4 linked regions of the Drosophila melanogaster genome follow. The protein of the gene in region 2 interacts with the protein of the main gene of each other region in a pairwise test. Each region holds a gene or a part of one and is shown on either strand. Other genes may lie near its edges. The genes, in order: Ppcs, Arpc3B, CG44837 and CG11327.

Region 1 (4,729 bases), on a different chromosome or scaffold from region 2:
TATGCAAATCAAATTATACGATGACAATGTTAAGGCTGCTGGCGGACAAGGCCACAAGGCCAGCGTGAGTGACACTGACAGCCTGTGATAAGGCTCCTGCTGGCCAGTGGATGGAATTGGAGGAAGCTAGAGAGGAACTGGAGGAGCAGCAGCAGCAGCCATAGTTGACTTAGCCCAGTCGAACGTCAATAATGTGGAGAGGAAATGTGTCACAGACCGGGGACTTGCACAGCGACCGGGAATCGGAAGGAGCACCAGGCACAAGGGTAGCGAAAACAACTAGAAACACACTGCCAGGAAATGGTGCTTTAAAGTGCATTATACATACATACATTCCATGCATCAGCAAAATCAGGATCAAAATGATTGACGCTTTTGCAATGTCAACTAGTAGTTGCTGCTTTGAAAATCGATACGAATTCACAATCACTATGCCATGGCCTTACTTTTAAGTACTACATCCTTAATTTGCCGCAGTGCAGCTTTGGGAATCGATAAAAACCAATTTCCACTCACTCATTCCGCACTCGTCGCAGTGAGGAGCGCAATCAATTACGAGATTTCCCACATGACCGCCCACCCGCCTCATCCGGCATCGTCCGTAGTCTCATCTTACCATCATGTCCTCGGGTATGTAGAAATCGGATACGGCTGCGGCTAGGTAGAGCACGGCTCGCTCCTCGAAGGCGGCCAGGCACTCGCAGGCGGCGCGGAGCAGCCACATGTAGTCCACCACGCTGGTGAAGTTCACGTACAGGATCATCTGCGTTTCGCGGGCTATCTTGTATTTGGCCAGCACCGGAGCAAACACGTCCACCGAATCCGGTTTGATGGCTATCGTCGAACTCTGGCTGTTGTCCGCAATGTCCAGCATGTCGAAGAACTGCTGGCCGGTGAAGTGGCGCGTGAAGGGCTCCAGCGACTTGTGGCGATGCATGAAAATCACGGCATAGTCGTGGTCGAGGAAGTATTCCGCCGAGGCGGAGCCACGCGTTCCAGCACTAAAATTGTCCACAAACCGCACCGTATTGTGCTCCAGGGGAACTGTGGTGCCACCGGACTGGAAATGTTGAACAAATTAGGGTTCTTTTAGAAAATATTTTGGTTCATTTTGGTATTTTTTCTTTGCTCCTATTTAATATTGATTATTCTGTTTCCTAATCGTTATGTTGCAATTAAAGCAACTTTTAAATTCTATTCTCTATTAAATTTTCATGTTCAAAAACTGGGGTTAAATGCTCGTGGTGGTTATACCCTTTACTCGTAGAGTTGAAAGGGCATACTAGAATCGCTGAAATCTATGTCCGTCCATTTGTCCGTATTTCTGTCCGTATGAACGCTGTGATCCTGGTAACTACCAGATCTGCAAAATTAAGTTTAGATATGCAGATTCTAACCATTTTTACTAATATCAAATATAAATTTTTGATGTTCTTCTTAGTACTGGGTGTCTGACAGCCGAGTAACTCGACTAGTTTTCTCTTGTTTTGTATCTTCTTATGTATTTTCTCCCCTTTAACATCCTTTCTTATAGGCACAATAACAGTTTTGTGCAAATCATTACAATAATTTCTTATAAAACAAATTAGAATAACCAAGTCCCTTTCATGTAAAATCCAATGACTTAGAACAAATCCAAGATATTTGGCAGCATTTAGTTATTCAAATCAGGCAGATAAATCAGCAAGTTGACCATAAATCTTATAGAGAGAAACTAATGTGCCTCGTTGTTAACTATTTGCGTAAATCATGTTCGGATTAAGCTGGCCCCAGTGAATAAACACCAGTTGACCCACATAATTTCATATTTAACTTTGAGCTTTAGGAGGCGAATCAAGTATTTGCAAGACTTGCAGATATTTGCAATATATATTATTTACGCATAGCAGCATTTTAAAGTGGAAAACTTAACTTAAAGTGAAACTTAACTAAGATTAAATTTCTAAAATGTTAAATTAAAAACTAACAAAAAAAAGGTGATTTTGGTTTTTTAAAGTATGTTAAAAAAACACTTAACAACTTTTGTTTTCTCCATTCACAAAATGCTAATTGTTTATGCATGCGCCCCTGCATGTGTTTAACATTTACGAACTTTGTTCTAGCCAATTTAAATTTATTCACTTCCACACTTTACACATTTGTTTTTAATGCCCCAGGCGCTCGGCTCAACCATGAAAGCTTTCACCAGCTTGGGCAGTTAATTAACGGAGTACAGTGGTTATTTAGCGCTAATCCTAATCCTAATTCGGATTTGGATCATCCCAGCTCACCGTGACGAGGACGATGCGATTCTGGAGCTTGTTGTGCCGTTCGCAGAACTCCTTGAGCAGGGAGCGATTGTCCTCGAAGTCCGCGGGCGGCAGGTGCGTGTTGTAGAAGTCCTCCCAGTGCGTCATGTTGGCTTATCCTTTACGCTTGTTTTTGCTTTTTCTTTGTCGACCTGCTGCTAATTGGCCGACAAACGGAAGCTCGAAAATGAACGGAAAGTTGCCCTCTTCCGCCGGAAGCTATGCACTGCCAATTAATAAATACAGAATGTGCGAAATGGCAACCAAAATTAATTAACACACGCACTGCACTATTCGGCGTACTATCTTAATTGATTGATTTGCTTTTGCTTTGCTTTGGTTTGGTTTTTTTTTGCAGTTTCCGAAATGCGAAGGGCGGAATATGCGTGGCAGGGGGGCGGGGCAGGGGCTGCGGGTGGCGCTGCTTATCAATGGAACCGTTAAGGGGAGCGCGCGCGAGCGGGAGAGCGGAACGGAGCGCTCTGAAAAACCGGAGAGAGAGAGAGCGAACGAAAATGCTGAAAAACGCAGCTGTGGAAATGCGATGCGATGTGCACGGCAGCAAGGTCCGCGGGATTCTGAACCGAAAATGCGATAGGCAGCGATGGATGGCGGAGCGGGACGAGCGGGAATGTGGACAGGCGCACTCAAATCCGTATCTTTATTCGCACGAAACCTCGGGGTTCAAAGTGCAGGCCAAAAAAAAAAAACGCGTTGGCCAGGTAACAGCTGATTGCAGTGTTGGACAGGGACGAATTGGAGGCATTGCTGACTGGTTCCGGCGCATGCAGCAAACTTGTTGCTTGTCAAGATTAAGTTTTTCATGTATCGTTCTAAGGAAGCTATACAAAGGTTTCATTTAGCTAATAAGTAAGAAAGACCACCACTTCTGCCTAGTTATCTGTCAGCCAGAAGGTGTTTTTGTTGAATATTCATATTTGTGAACTAGTTCTTAGTCTTGTGGTACCCATGAGCTATCTGAGCAAAGTTGGCTGCGCTTTAGATATTATTTCAGTGTTGTTAATTAAGAAAACGCGCCTAATTCAAATTCAAATTTGAGCTATAAATACCTGTACGAAAACAAATTATTTCAATTTTTAAAGGGAAACCTTTTTTATTTTAGGGTTAAGAAAGAATAAATGCATAACAAATAAAAGCAATGTAATTGTTAACTCCAAAAATACCTTATACTACTGCATTTTATTGGGTGTGTAACTCGTTCTTTGTGTGGCTATTTTTAATTTAATGGCTTACCTGAGTGTGTTAAGTGTAAACAAGGCTTGTGAAGATTTATATCCAATAAAACTCAAAATGAATCAAGTCAGATAACATGTTTTGGTTATTTTTAAATTGCTTATTCATTTATAATCCATTAAATAATTCCAGTATTTTGAAAACCACAGAGTCTTAAGCAGCTGTGAAAGAGGTAACTTGCAGGAATTTACCATCAACAAAATAAAGACGCCTAAGTTAAATATTCATTTACATTTACATATAGTTTTTATTATCGATTAGCAACGTGGGTTCTATGCGTATTGTTAGTGCAAGGACGTACAAAAGAATCTCTAGAACAATATCACAGAAACTTACTAACTAATTGGTCTTGTCAACTGCGCTGTTAGAAATCGGCGTGACCTTTAGCAACGCCATTAGAGTGTAATTGGGAAGCGGAATGCTTTTCAGCTTGTCGTGGAAATTTATGGCATACATTAGACGATTGAGCACCGTCTCTCCACCACCATCCTAGCTGAGGCTGCAATGAATTGCCATCGTCGTCGTCTCGTCTGAATTGTGTGGTGAGTGTGCACTTTAAACCGAAACCAGGTCCAATTGAAGCCCACCGTCGTATCGGATCGAATCGAATCGGACCAGATTTCGAAACGGACTACGCCCTAGGCGTAGCTGCCGTCGTGGTTGGCGCATAGACCTGATAATCGACGTCGTCGACACCAGCCGCTTCATCCTCCAAGTCGTGATTGACCAGTCGTTCGCGCATTCCATACCGCTGCCTGATGATGGTGAAAAGAGATGGTAAATGAGTTAGCACTCTGAAAATTAGAGCAATTAGCCAATAGAACTCACTCCAGGTGCGAGCGCCATATGACCAGGCCGGCGTACAGGCCGATGGAGACCAAGGCCAGTGCCACCACCACGATGCCGAGCAGCACGTGTCCCTGGCTAACCGCATCCGCCTGCACGTTCAGCGGGCTCATCTCGATGTTCTCGTTGGCGAAGGTTTCGGTGTCCGTGCTGAAGATCACACCGCGTCCCTTGAAACGCTCCTCCAGATCGTCCACGTCATCCATGCTACTGTCGTCTTGGTCGGCATCGCCGGATTCCAGGATCTCCACATCGTACTTGTAGTTCTGTGCCAAAACCAAATTGGTGGCCGAGTTCAGTTGGTCCTCGTCGCGGTGGGGATATGACCGCCGCTGCTGCTC
Region 2 (3,695 bases):
CTGAATGGAAGGCAGCGAACGAGCCAGTGAACGCAAAAAAAAACAAAACAAAACACGGCGAAAAAGGTAAATAAACGCACGAAACGCCGACGAAGGGACTATTTACAAACTCTCATCGCTTTTGAACGGAATTCAGCAACGCAACAACAGCAACTACTCAAGAGGACAGTGTGACCAGCGCGGTAAGAGTTATAAATATCGCAAGGCATAAAATAATACCATGTACCATATACTAATTTGTTCAGCGAAAATACTACTGCTGTGCCGCTATAGGAATTTAATATACTTTATTTGATCTCAATCTCGATCTCAATCAAACCATACTAATAGTTCTATCGATATTAGTGTTCCTAGTATTTTGTATTTACATACAGCTTACATTCGCCCTACCTGGCTTATGAACGACCTCGATCTTACTATCTATCTACAATGCTATGGTAAGGTTTACACCGTTTTTCCAATATTTCAATCTCGCTGGTTCCAATAAACTCTTAAAAGGTAACTGCGTTAGTTGATAATCATCTACATCAATTTAATTTTTAACGGTCACTTTCAAACACTCTACTTTCCTTGTATATTTATTTGTACATGGGCCGCGATATTTAGGTTCGAATTTTTTATTAACTCCAGGTGTTGTATCAATATTTCGTAGAGCTTCAAAATCTCGAAATTTATATTCCAAAAGGGCTTTATTTTTCTTCGCATTATATTGCTCAATATTATGTTGTGAGTGATGGATATTAACATTAGCATTTAAACTAACAGTATCTAGGTCTGTTTGCTCTAAATTAAACGTGTGCTCAATATATTCTGGCAATTCGTCAACTATATGGCCTTTTTGGCTAACACCAAATAATTGAATACTATGTGATTCTTTAATACTACTATGAATAGTAATGTTAATGGCAAACTCTAATTTATTTAAGAAGTTACGGCGTTGCGCAGTTGAACTATAGTCGCGTCTTCACCAAAATAAACTTTTTTTGATTTTAATATGTCAATTATATCGGGTTTTGATTTTTTAAGAATAGCACTATATTCCAATGTATTACTGCTTTATTATTGTTGTCTTGGTCTGTAACAATCTTTTTAAGTATTTTTATTCACGATGTTTCTCTTTAAAACAATTGATTTAAGCTCTTCGATCTCGATCACACCATCGTTTGTTCTTCAGACTATACAATTAGTTCTATCGATATTATGTTATCGATCGATTATATTTTACCTAGTATTTTATATTTATACACAATTTACAAACTTCTTATCTATAAACAATCAACTGTGTCGACCATCGAATAATGTTTTTAATAGACGTAATTTGTATTTTCAAAGTGAACTGGAACATGTGAAATAGTTTGAGTGTTAACCCAAATGTGTCTGGGCACACTGCTTTCGCCTTTGTAACTTACCGCCAAAGTTGAAGCTTTTCATTGTCGCGCGAAAAGTTGGAAACGTTCAATTAATTATTTTTTAATAAAAAAGCTATATTATATTATATTATATATATTGTATATTAATATATATATTATATATATTCGATTGGGGACCTTATTACAGTTGTTATGTTCATTTCTTTCCTATTTTTTATCTATATCTTTCCCATTTTTAATTAGCAAGCGCAACAAGTTCTAACCGAAAGAGCCAAGTCCTGTTAACTCCATTTCTGCATTGATATCAATTTCATATGCAACAGAACTAAAATAAAACGACGAAAACTGAGACGTACTTGCACATTTATGTGGGAAAATGTCAGCTTAAATGATTAAAATAATATCTTTAGAAATGTATATTTTCAAAAAATACCAAATAAACTCGGAACGAACCAGTTCATTTTAACGCCAATGGGTCGTTTATTCAACTTCAAAAAGATAACGTTTTCACATCACTAGGAAGTTCTGATATATCATATATTACTATATTTTTCGTTTATTTTTAACTTTTGAAAAACAAGACAGAAGTCATTGAAATGCCGGTGAGTAAAATACAACCGAGGTATGCAGCTGCAGATGGGCAGTTTCTTAACATAAATGTACATTAAACGCATTAAACCCTTAACCTGTCCATTTGTTTACATGGTTCGCACAGGCATTTCACTCGGAAATAGAGGATTTCCAAGCCTCGGTGGGGAATATGGCCCTTCTACCACTACGTACCCAAGTCCGAGGACCAGCGCCCACTGTTGATATTCCCAACGACATCATCGATGAGTCACTCTACTTCTGGAAATCGAACATTTTCTTCCGCACTTACGAAGTTAAGGTTGGTGACTGGACAAAGAAATGAGCATAGAGATAAAGCGAGGCGATATTCTAATTTTTAAAATGAAGATACATTAAGAAGACGGCACAGCTTGTTAAATATTTCGAAACAATCTTAAAGCCCTAGTGGAGTCAATTTTATAATGTTAAAACCAAGTGCGTTATCTCACCGCCCTTATTTGTAGAAATATGTCGTTACAATCAGCCTGATAAGAGTGAAGTTATTTGTTAAATTTTTAGTAATACCCCTTTCTTATATGGTGTTCCAAGAGTTGGGTATTTCTACATAATGAAATTATTTTTTTGGAGCTTGGAATTTTTTTTTAAAAGTTCAATAATAGCTTATAGCTTATATAGCTTATATTACTATATAGCTTATAGCAATAATAGTCTTATCAATTATGATATCATTCTTAGAATATTGTTGCTATGTTTAAACTTTTAAAATTACTTTTTAAAAAACCCCTATTACCCATACATTGTATATCTAATCGCAGTCGGAGGTGGACAGGGTGCTCATCTACATAACGCTCTACATCACGGAATGTTTGAAGCGATTGGCCCGATGCACAAGCAAATCGCAGGGTCAGCAGGAGCTCTATACGCTGGCCATCTCGCGGTTCGATATACCCGGAGATGCGGGATTTCCGCTGAACGGAATATACACCAAGCCCGAGGATCCGGAGCTGATGCGTCAGTACTTCCTGCAGTTGCGCCAGGAAACCGGAAACAGATTGCTGGAAAAGGTCTTTGATACTCCGGATGGAAAGCCGAGCAAGTGGTGGATATGCTTTGCCAAGAAGAAGTTCATGGAGAAGAGTCTTTCGGGACCGGGAATGTAAAAGACTCACTAATATACTGCCGATCTTAGAGTATTTACCACCAAAATTTACGAATAAACTGCTTTGAATGTATTAAATTCGTTGTTGATTTATGTTTATTGATTTATACGCTCTCAAAAGCGCATATTTTTCACTTTGTAAAAGAACTTAGTGTTAAACATTGTTGGCTGAAGGCTAGTTAATACTTTATACATATATATTTATAAAATCGATGAATAGCATTTATTACATACATATGGCTTTAACGATCATTTGCAGGCTCTCACACAATCAAAGCCCTATTGCTATGGTAATCAATTATTAAAATGGGTTATAGCTGCAGATCATGTTTTTCCTTTATGCCTCCTTTCGTTTTTGTGCCAAATAAACATTTTTTTTATACATACAAACAAAAAAAAAATATGCACAGCTTAAAACTATCAACAAAATAATAATAAAAAAAAGAGTGGAAAAATACACAAATTAATCTTACATCAGAACAGGACAACGCATTCACATAGTTCCGCGGAATGACAGCATTATTTATGTACAAAATATACTTGCTAGCTCTCTAAGCCTACTTAAACTCCTTGACGATCTCCACGATGCTCTGGTA
Region 3 (4,895 bases), on a different chromosome or scaffold from region 2:
AATCGCAATCGCACCTATTGTAGAACTATCTGTACGCTGTAAACAATCTCCTATAAAGTCGTAATCAAACTATGCAAATGGCTAGAATTCATTTTTTCAGGTCCTAACTATCAGGCAATCATTTCATCATACAATGGTATCATCTACATCATCATCTACATACAATGGTATTTAAAAGTTCTTTAGAGTGCATTATTAACCGAGAAAATATTTCCTAGTTGAAGACTCCTGTCATGCTTTAAGTTTCCCAGGCCGTTTGTTCCTGAGTATTGCACAATAAAAGTCTCACACCCCTTAGGGCCACATAGAGTGTGCAATTGCATCCTTGTGGTAAAACAAAAGATAAAGTCTTGAGTTTTCGAGGGGTCAGCCAACAGACTCCAACTCTATTTGAAATGGCAGCTATTAAACCTAAAATCGTCTTAACAATTACAGACAATAACGATGTGAGGGTGCGAGAAACCCAACTGTGAGCTTAATCCCGGCAAGAACAGGCATCCAGCTCATTGTCGGATTCAAAGGGGTATTCAATTTAGTTTAAAAGTTGAACCCATCCCATGCGGGCCACTCGCAGCCAGACAATGGAGCACTTGGCAATGGCAGAGTCAGTGCCCCAGGGCGATCTCCAGGCGGCAATCTGCCAGGACCAATCCAGCCGTGAACCCGGAATGTCCACAAAAGGCCTCGCTGATAATGAGTTTGGGAAATGCCTGTGTATTGGAATCTCCGCCAGAGTGCATTAAAAGCTGGATAGAAAGTGGAGGCCCTCTGAATGTGCCGCCATTCACCTGAATTGCCGGACACCCGCACTGCAGATATAGTTGCTGCAATTAAAATTACACGGCGCCATCACTTGTAAAAGGGCTGTGCACGGCGGGAATTTGACGCGGTTTTGGATTAAATGGGCAAACAGGAAACAATTAGCATTCCACTTAATTGCAAAATATCTAAAATTTCAATAACTAAAGCCATTTGCCTTCCTATACTGATGGTATAACAATAGACCGACATTAATAGACAATATAAGCTTCGAAAGTTACAATTTGTTAATCATATGTTTCTTATTCAACCGAAATTGTTTTCAGTTTTTATTTGTATTAATCTCTTTTGAACGTAGTTTTCACTCACCTGATAGTCCATTGAGTTGCCATAGCCCATGTGGTTGCAGGAGCAGGAACAGTGCTTGATATGCTGCTCCAGCTCGTCATCGATGACGGTGGTGCTGGTTGTTAGGTGTCCAAGTGCCTCGTGATGGAAGTGGGCATGCTCGAGATCCCAGTGATCCCTCTGGCGAAAGCGAATGTCCTTTCCCTGCTGCTCCAACAGCTCTACAGGATTTGCAGCTTGATGTGGCTGCGGGGATAGATGCTGTTGCGCTTCCCCGGGCCAATCGAATGAGCAGGACTTGAACACACGTCTGCCACCCGTTCCGCCCACCGCTGTGGATTGTGTTTCCCTGGCGGGACTGTTCTGTGGACTGGGGCTAATGGCATTAACTTTGCTGTTATCGCTCTCTTGGGCTGTTAAGCTGCCGACTCGCAGGAGAGCGCCGCGCTCGAAGCTTTTGGCCGCCTGGTGGAAAGCTCCGTACGCAACAGTTTCGTCCTCCTCAACATCGCTGGCATTCTGGTAGCGACGCATTGGCGGGGCGCCACCAGTTGCTCCGGCCACGTTACCGTTACCAATGGCCGCCGCCGTTGGCGTCACAGTTACCGCCGAGCTGGCCGCACTGAGCATGAGGCGGAGTATTTCATTGGTGTCCTTCGACGGCAGCGGCACACTGCAGGAGCCCGTTTCCGCCTCGGAGATTTCCTGTGTTTCCGAGTTCAGCTCATCCGAACCGTTGGGCTCCTCGACTTCGATCTGTTGGTTTTGGCGTGCACGTTGGCCCACTATCGAGGCGGCCGTGGAATTGGCTCCGTACTTCCAGTACGTTTTTCCAGTGCCAGCGATCCTCTGCAGATGACTTCCAGCCGCCTGACGTTTTCGCTCCTGCAGCTGTTGGAGATTTTTAAAGACTTTTCGCACCGGTTGCGTGTGATGCAAGGTGGCACATCTTCTCATGGGCGGCGGCGTATATACCGGGGAAACACTGTAGCTGTGCGAGTGCCGACCGGGCGAAAGTGAGCCACTCGACTTCGCGCCCACTAAGCGGGCTTTCAGTTTACGGCCAAAGCCCAGGCCACTTCCGCCTGCCGTTGCGCTTCCGGTTCGCGAGGTGAGTGAGTGGGCGGACAAGGAGAGGGCGCGACTGAATCGCAGAGCCGCTGATCTCTGCTGCTTGACGGCCATCAGCTGGCACTCGTCGATCGTCGGCAGCTTTAGCAGGTGAGGATGCAGCTGGGCATAAGTTAGTGAAGGCTTCGCACTGGGCACATCCGGTGAGGGATTCGGCAGCGGATCGAAGAGGTTTCTCTGGCTGAGGGCCAGGAACTCGCGCTGCTCCTCCTCCTCCAGCGCCTTCAAAGCACGCAGGTCCCACTCGCCAGAAGACATGGTTCCCTTTAGTCACTCATGGATTGTTAATTCTTTTTCACGAATTTTAGTTGATATTTGAGTAATGACACGCAAATCATCTTTATTTATGTTTCAGTATTAGCACTTATTCTGGTCTATTTACTTTTAATTTGCATATTTATGAAAATAAACACATTTTTGGTGGCCTAAGTATTCAAGTATTCAAGGATATAACATTATAAAGGAGGTACAACTTATATGTACATATAATATATTGAAAGCAAGTAAAATAATGTAAGCTAAGTAATAAATATAATATACAAAAAATAACGTTTCTATTATGTAAGTGAAAGTAAATGATAAGATAGTAGATATAATAATCGGATTCCAAACGCTACCTATTTTTACTCTTTCACTAACAATGTTATGTTTGTTATGCTTTTCCAATATCACGGCGTAAACTAAAACAAATAAATTATAACACGTCAATCCCGCCAATATTCCGTCACATTTTCCGTTGGATAAAACCGCTAACGCTACCCGGTTCAATTCAATTACCGTTGCCACGCGGCGCTGCCAACACACTGGGCTCTTCAGTGCTGCGGTACCGTTACTTTATAACGGCACTGCTAACAGCAGCAGCAACAGTTTCCGCAAGGAGTACCCCCCAGTGGATGGATGCTGTGGATCGTAAGTGACCTGGCCCAACAAAAAAGTATGGCAGTGGGTCGCCATGTTAACAGTATGTAATGTAAAGTCCATGTTAATGCAAAGATATTTTATTGTAATACTTATTTGAAAAAAAGTAACTATAAAATATAAAACAAATATCCATTGGAATCATGTAACAATAAAAAGAATTTAACCTCCAAAGTAGCGTTTTTTTGTTTTAATGCTATGCCTTAACAGACCTTAAAACATTTTTACCAAACAGGGCTTTTCTTATTGAACTCAATAGCATACATTCTTCTTGGTAATCAAAGTTACGCTTGCTCCTGGCCACAAAGCCAAAGTCTATTGTTTTATGATGGTGTTATCCCAACTTGGGGCAAAGAGTTGGCCCAAAGGTGATACCGCAGGTGACGGGGCGGCAATGAAATATGCAAGTGCATTCATTTGGCATCCAAAGCAATTTCGCAGTCAGCAGGACGACGACACATAGCCATTTTTGTTAACCTCATCTCAAAATGTTCACCGACCCCCAAGCCAGCACTCAGAAAAATATAGTGTGATATCTAATATTATGTTTTTAAATTCAATATAAATTATTTAAAAAATCAATGTGCGAATAGCTAGAAAACATGATATATTTTAGTTGTACAGATGAAACGGCCCACGCATTAAAATTTTTTTTGTAGTGTGACCATTTCTTGTAACTTAACATTACAATGCACGGCCACATTTCTGCACACCTGTACCTGGGTACATATGTAAGTACTTGCTCATGGCACACACATACTCTGAAGTGCTCATCCTTCATCCTGATGTATGGCCATCAAGCATCGGATGGGCTGAGTGTCGGAACACGGAGGGGAAGTAAGTATGTGCACCGCTGAATCCCCCGAATCGTGTTAATGAAATTCAAGCTGGGTCAAAAATTTGCATTAGCACATCCGGCATCCATATGCAAATCATATTTCAGATACGAGGACTCACATGATTAACAAAAAGCGGATCGATGGGACGTTCGTAAAAACAAAAATATATATGTAACTTTGTGGATATATATCCATTGCTCCATTAAGTGACTTATTTTAATCTTAGTATGCAGGCAAAGGAATAATTAATTATTATATAATTATATTAATTGCCGTTCTCTTATAATAAATTAAATTTTTTCTATGGCACAACAATTATTTGTTAATAATTACAGGAAATATCTACTAAATAGACGTTTAAATTGGTTTTATTTAAACCTTTCACGTAAATGTGAAGGCGTTGTGGTAATTAAAAATATTTAAATATTAAGAAAAAAACAGAAAAATGTGGTTTCCTATTGTCTTGTAAAGCCAACAAATAATTATTTTGAAACATTGGCTTACTGCAAATTCCCGTGGGAATTTTGCTGTCTAAACAATTTAAAAAGGATTCTTCTTTATTTAAAGCTTAATAACTTGGAAAGAGAACCAAAAGTTGGCCCGTGAAGGGCTCAACAATGTCGGAGTCAAGCCATAATTTTTCGTGAACATGTTGGCCAGCCACGCCCATGTCCTCGACGGCAAATCCCTGCCACAGAGGATGTCAGAAGTCAAGATCGAAAACAAGTGAAAGTTGCAACAAGCCATTCTGTTTGAGGTCTGCGTTTAATTTTTTTTATGGGGACACTGTAGCCAGTGAGTCGAATTCGAACAGGACCTCTTTCCTTGACCAAATAACGAACTTTGGCTGGAAGGTCGGGAACATCTGCGCCACAAGTTGCGAGCCCAACCAAGCCACCG
Region 4 (3,992 bases), on a different chromosome or scaffold from region 2:
AAACAACCGTATGCGACTGCAGTGTGACCGCACGCTAGCACGCGAAAAAATATTGCCTTTGAACAGGAGCGGTTCAGTAAAGATATTTGTATTCAATATAATAGTTATGTAAAACTAAAACTTGCAATAATCCCAAACTATTTTCCAAGTAAAAACTATTATTCCGGGAATTGCGTCAAATTAGCCTTTTCATTTATTAATTTTCTTTCCCGTCGTCTAGTACTAGTCCCGCCGACCAGTCTCTCCGTGTCCCACCGACATAGTTAGATCTGTAAGTTCGTATCATTGCTATTTTTCACGATTCCTCTATACATTCAAAAAAAAAAAAATAAATAAAAAATTCCCCATGTTTAGAATTCCGCCGTTCCTCCATCGGTAATTATTCCGGGAAAACAGTAAACGGGCAGGTGCAGTTTCCGGTTATCGATAACCGTTACCCTGCCCTAGCCAACAAGAGTATGACCTGACAAAGGCGCCACCTAGCGCTCGTTTCAAAAAGAATGTTAAGTAATTGGCGCTTTAATTCAAATATACATACAAATTATACAAATTACAAACAGTGCGGCCGTGATATTGTGGATATTTATTTGGAAAATAGATATTTAAAGCAACCCAACTATGCCAATGCGTCGGGCGATTTTGAAGTGTTTCCTAAGATATACCGTAGTGAAACGTATGCTCTCGCAAGTTCGCATTATCCAATTTGCATTTCTAGAATAGTGAACTTCTACTCCTTGCGAATTATATAGACCAAACTGAAAGCCAAGCTGCAGAACAATATGGGATAGCTAAGCTTAAGGATTCTGTGGTTGACTAGACGCCTCAAGAAACTCAAGGGCTTGCCAGTTTGTTTTAGGTCCGGATCCGTTTCCTCCTCCATATCGATTTCCGCCTCCGGGCCCGTCAGCGTCTCCCTTTCTTCCGCTTGCTCACTTTCTATCAAGTCTGGAGCTGTTTCAACTTCGCTATTCTCTTCTATTCTGGCCTGCAAAAGTTGGCGCATTAGGTGCACATTGTACTCCGGATCAAATAGTTCATCCAAAGTAACCATCTCGCGACCGTTTTGCACCGACCCATCTAGTGAGGGATGGTCGGCCAGTTCCGGGACCGAGTCAATGCACACAATCTCATCCGCCGTTGGATGAAACATGGGCTCCAATGTTTCAGGGTATTTCTCGAATTGTTCACGAACAAGCCTGTCCTCTTCGGACTCGCTACTTTCATTAATTAACGTTTCGAGTTCCTCCATATCCGATTCGGGTACAGATTTCTCGGATTCTACGTCTGTAGGATCTTGCGGGGTCTCTTGGACGATCTCTGTGTGTTCATCTATTGGCTCTTCGCCCAAATGCTGGACAATTTCGAATTCCTTTAAAGATTCTATTTCCACGGCAGTTTCCTTTATTTCTGGAAATTCCCCTTTCGGTGCAATTTCTTTTTCCACCATCTGTACATTTCCTGGTATAAGTTCTTCGGGTTGTGTTTCAGGAAGTGTTTCCTGCTGAATATCGTTTCCTGTCAGCTGTTCCATATCTAGTCCGGAAGACTCGGCACCATTCTCCACATCAGAGGCTTCATTTTGCAACTGTGTATCCACATCAGTGGCGTCATATTGCACCTGTGTATCCTGGTCAATATCATCGGGCAGTAGATTTTGCATATCTAAATTATTAAAAGCCACATCAGCCTCCATTTCGGCGACGACGCGTTGAAGTTCCTTGAGAGTCTGCTCCTCTGCCAGTCGGAGCTCCAACTCGCTGCTAGTGTCCGGAATCCTGTCGAGCATCGGCTGCAGCATTGGACTCGGTCTGGCCGACAGCGTAGTCTGCTGCTCGTCCGTGGAGCAATCCAAATTGATGCCAGAATCGTCGGCCATCTGTTGACTTTCCATGGAGGAGCGTCGCTTTCTCTCGGGCATCAGTGAACTGTAGATCCGGCTGCTGGCACTGGGTCCCAAGAAAAGTGGAGCCGGAATTTTAGTGGGCCTAACTCCCGAACTGCGAGGCCGCAGCTCACTCTCCGACGAAGATGGGACAACCGCGTCCACATCGTTTTCCATTGATTGACATTCTTCGGAGTTTTTCACATTCTTGTTGTTCTCAGTCCGCTTCAGCTCTTCCTGGGATGGAGTTGCTTGCACATTGCGGCTGGCCATCGTGGCTATTTGGACGCATAAATGAATGAGGTCAGCACAATTTGGTAGAGCACTGTGCTCCAACTTACCCTTTATAAATTTACGCAAGACTGACTGAATTTAACCTGGTTAACTAGTTCGACATCCGTGAAATATTATATCAATGTTTTCAACATGGGTTTTCCCTTATTTCGGTGATCAAAACGTTCCCTAGCGAAAGTGTGTTCGCCTAACTGTGGCAATTGAACTAAATGGATTGACAGGCAATGTCTCCTGATTTCACGTGCAGCCAGGCCAACTTGATTCAGTTCATTTTTGTGTTGGAAAACGCGGCTCCAATGGCCAACTGGATTGGCAACTCATTTATTAACTTAGTGGTAGCATTAATACATAATTTGGTTAGAATTGATGGCAGAAAAGACGTTAATGGCTCTGAGGATTGCGATTCCCCTCAGTCCTGCAACTCCACCTTCGTCTTGAGATAGTCGGACAGATCATTGTAGATCAGCGGCTTCACACGATCTGTTTTGAAAAGCATAGAAAAAAGTTTAGTTCAGTTGAAGTTACCACTTTGTTTCGATTTCCCTTACTATTGCACTTGTACTGCAGGTTGGACCATATAATCATCCTCTGTGAGAAGCAGAACACGCCCAGCCGACCGCCCTTCAGCGTGGAGTCAAACACATTGCCCGAGTCGAAGATCAGGCGGTTACCCTCGTGCATTCTGTGGGTAGAAGGAGAATGAAGACATGGGAACCCTGTCATGGTGCCATCACTCACTGCAGGCGGATGAGGCCGATGGCCGGTCGATGCACCAGGGACCAGCGGTAGGAGGTCCTTTCCTTCCACGCAATGTTCTTCGGATCCTTCCACAGCAGCCTGGCCTCACCGTCGGTGTTTCCCTCGTGCCACAGGCTGTTCCTCATCATTGGGCCCGGACCCTCGGTGCTGTTGACCAGCTTGATCTGGATGCCCGGCGCCGCAGAGGCGGTGAAGGGTCGTGGCTCCCAGTAGGTTTGGGTGCCCTTCTTCCACTGCACCACGTAGTACTTGTAGCTGCTCTGGTAGCTGAACACAAAGCCAGCGTAGTCATCGTCCGTGTCATCGTTGATATAAAAGGTGCCGTCGAAGTCAACGCCTCCGAAGGCGTCCTTGCCCACCGCTAGTCCCGGATCCGAATTGAGGGTCTGGACTATCTCGGTGCCATTGGCGTGTACCACCCAGTTGGGATCCGCTTGCGATAGGCCTTTGGGATCCAGTGGAATGGTTTGAAGAGTGCGAAAGTCAGTGTGATGAATCATCGAGTTGTTCGGGCAGTTGTCCATGCCATTCGGTACACCATCTACGTCCTCATCATCTTCGCAAGAGTCACCCTTGCCATTCCGATTGAAGTCGTCCTGCTTTGGGTTCTTGGCCAGCGGACAGTTGTCCTTGTAGTTGGGTATCCCATCTCCGTCCATGTCGTCATCGCACTCATCGCCCGTTCCATCACCGTCAGTGTCCAGCTGGTCCGAGTTACTGACCATTGGGCAGTTGTCCAGCGAGTTTGGAACTCCATCATCATCCCCGTCGATGTCTCTGTGACAGGCATCGCCTACAAAGTCCATGTCGCGATCCTTTTGGTCGGGATTCGGAAGATTCGGACAGTTATCGCAAGCGTCGCCCACACCATCGTTGTCCACGTCCGACTGACTGGGATTCGGCAGCAGCGGACAGTTGTCTAGCGCATTTGGTATGGAGTCGTTGTCGATATCACCATCGCACTCGTCTCCCAGTCCATCCTCGTCCGTGTCCAACTGCCTGGGATTGTACTTAAGCACGCAGTTGTCGCACACATCGCCCACCTTGTCTCCATCCG

What was found.
Region 1: the proteins of Arpc3B (region 2) and Ppcs interact in a two-hybrid assay, tested with the Drosophila melanogaster proteins (one large-scale study listed by BioGRID).
Region 3: the proteins of Arpc3B (region 2) and CG44837 interact in a two-hybrid assay, tested with the Drosophila melanogaster proteins (one large-scale study listed by BioGRID).
Region 4: the proteins of Arpc3B (region 2) and CG11327 interact in a two-hybrid assay, tested with the Drosophila melanogaster proteins (one large-scale study listed by BioGRID).

What each region holds. Positions count from the first base shown.
Region 1 is NT_033777.3:19,144,865-19,149,593, forward strand, and holds the start of Ppcs (phosphopantothenoylcysteine synthetase), read right to left. Parts: upstream 3,047-4,729; 5' UTR 2,397-3,046; coding exon 2,271-2,396; intron 1,061-2,270; coding exon 617-1,060; intron 1-616. Other genes in the region: CG5835 (uncharacterized protein), read right to left, coding at 4,174-4,297, 4,371-4,729.
Region 2 is NC_004354.4:17,104,047-17,107,741, reverse strand, and holds Arpc3B (Actin-related protein 2/3 complex, subunit 3B), read left to right. Parts: upstream 1-1,889; 5' UTR 1,890-1,966; coding exon 1,967-1,972; exon of another isoform or gene 1,973-2,085; coding exon 2,086-2,259; intron 2,260-2,755; coding exon 2,756-3,100; 3' UTR 3,101-3,171; downstream 3,172-3,695. Other genes in the region: CG4991 (uncharacterized protein), read right to left, coding at 3,657-3,695.
Region 3 is NT_037436.4:11,935,845-11,940,739, forward strand, and holds the start of CG44837 (uncharacterized protein), read right to left. Parts: upstream 3,029-4,895; 5' UTR 2,856-3,028; intron 2,664-2,855; 5' UTR 2,497-2,663; coding exon 1,129-2,496; intron 76-1,128; exon of another isoform or gene 1-75.
Region 4 is NT_033779.5:6,684,340-6,688,331, forward strand, and holds CG11327 (uncharacterized protein), read right to left. Parts: upstream 2,374-3,992; 5' UTR 2,224-2,373; intron 2,161-2,223; 5' UTR 2,156-2,160; coding exon 728-2,155; 3' UTR 503-727; downstream 1-502. Other genes in the region: Tsp (thrombospondin), read right to left, coding at 2,586-2,656, 2,725-2,858, 2,915-3,992.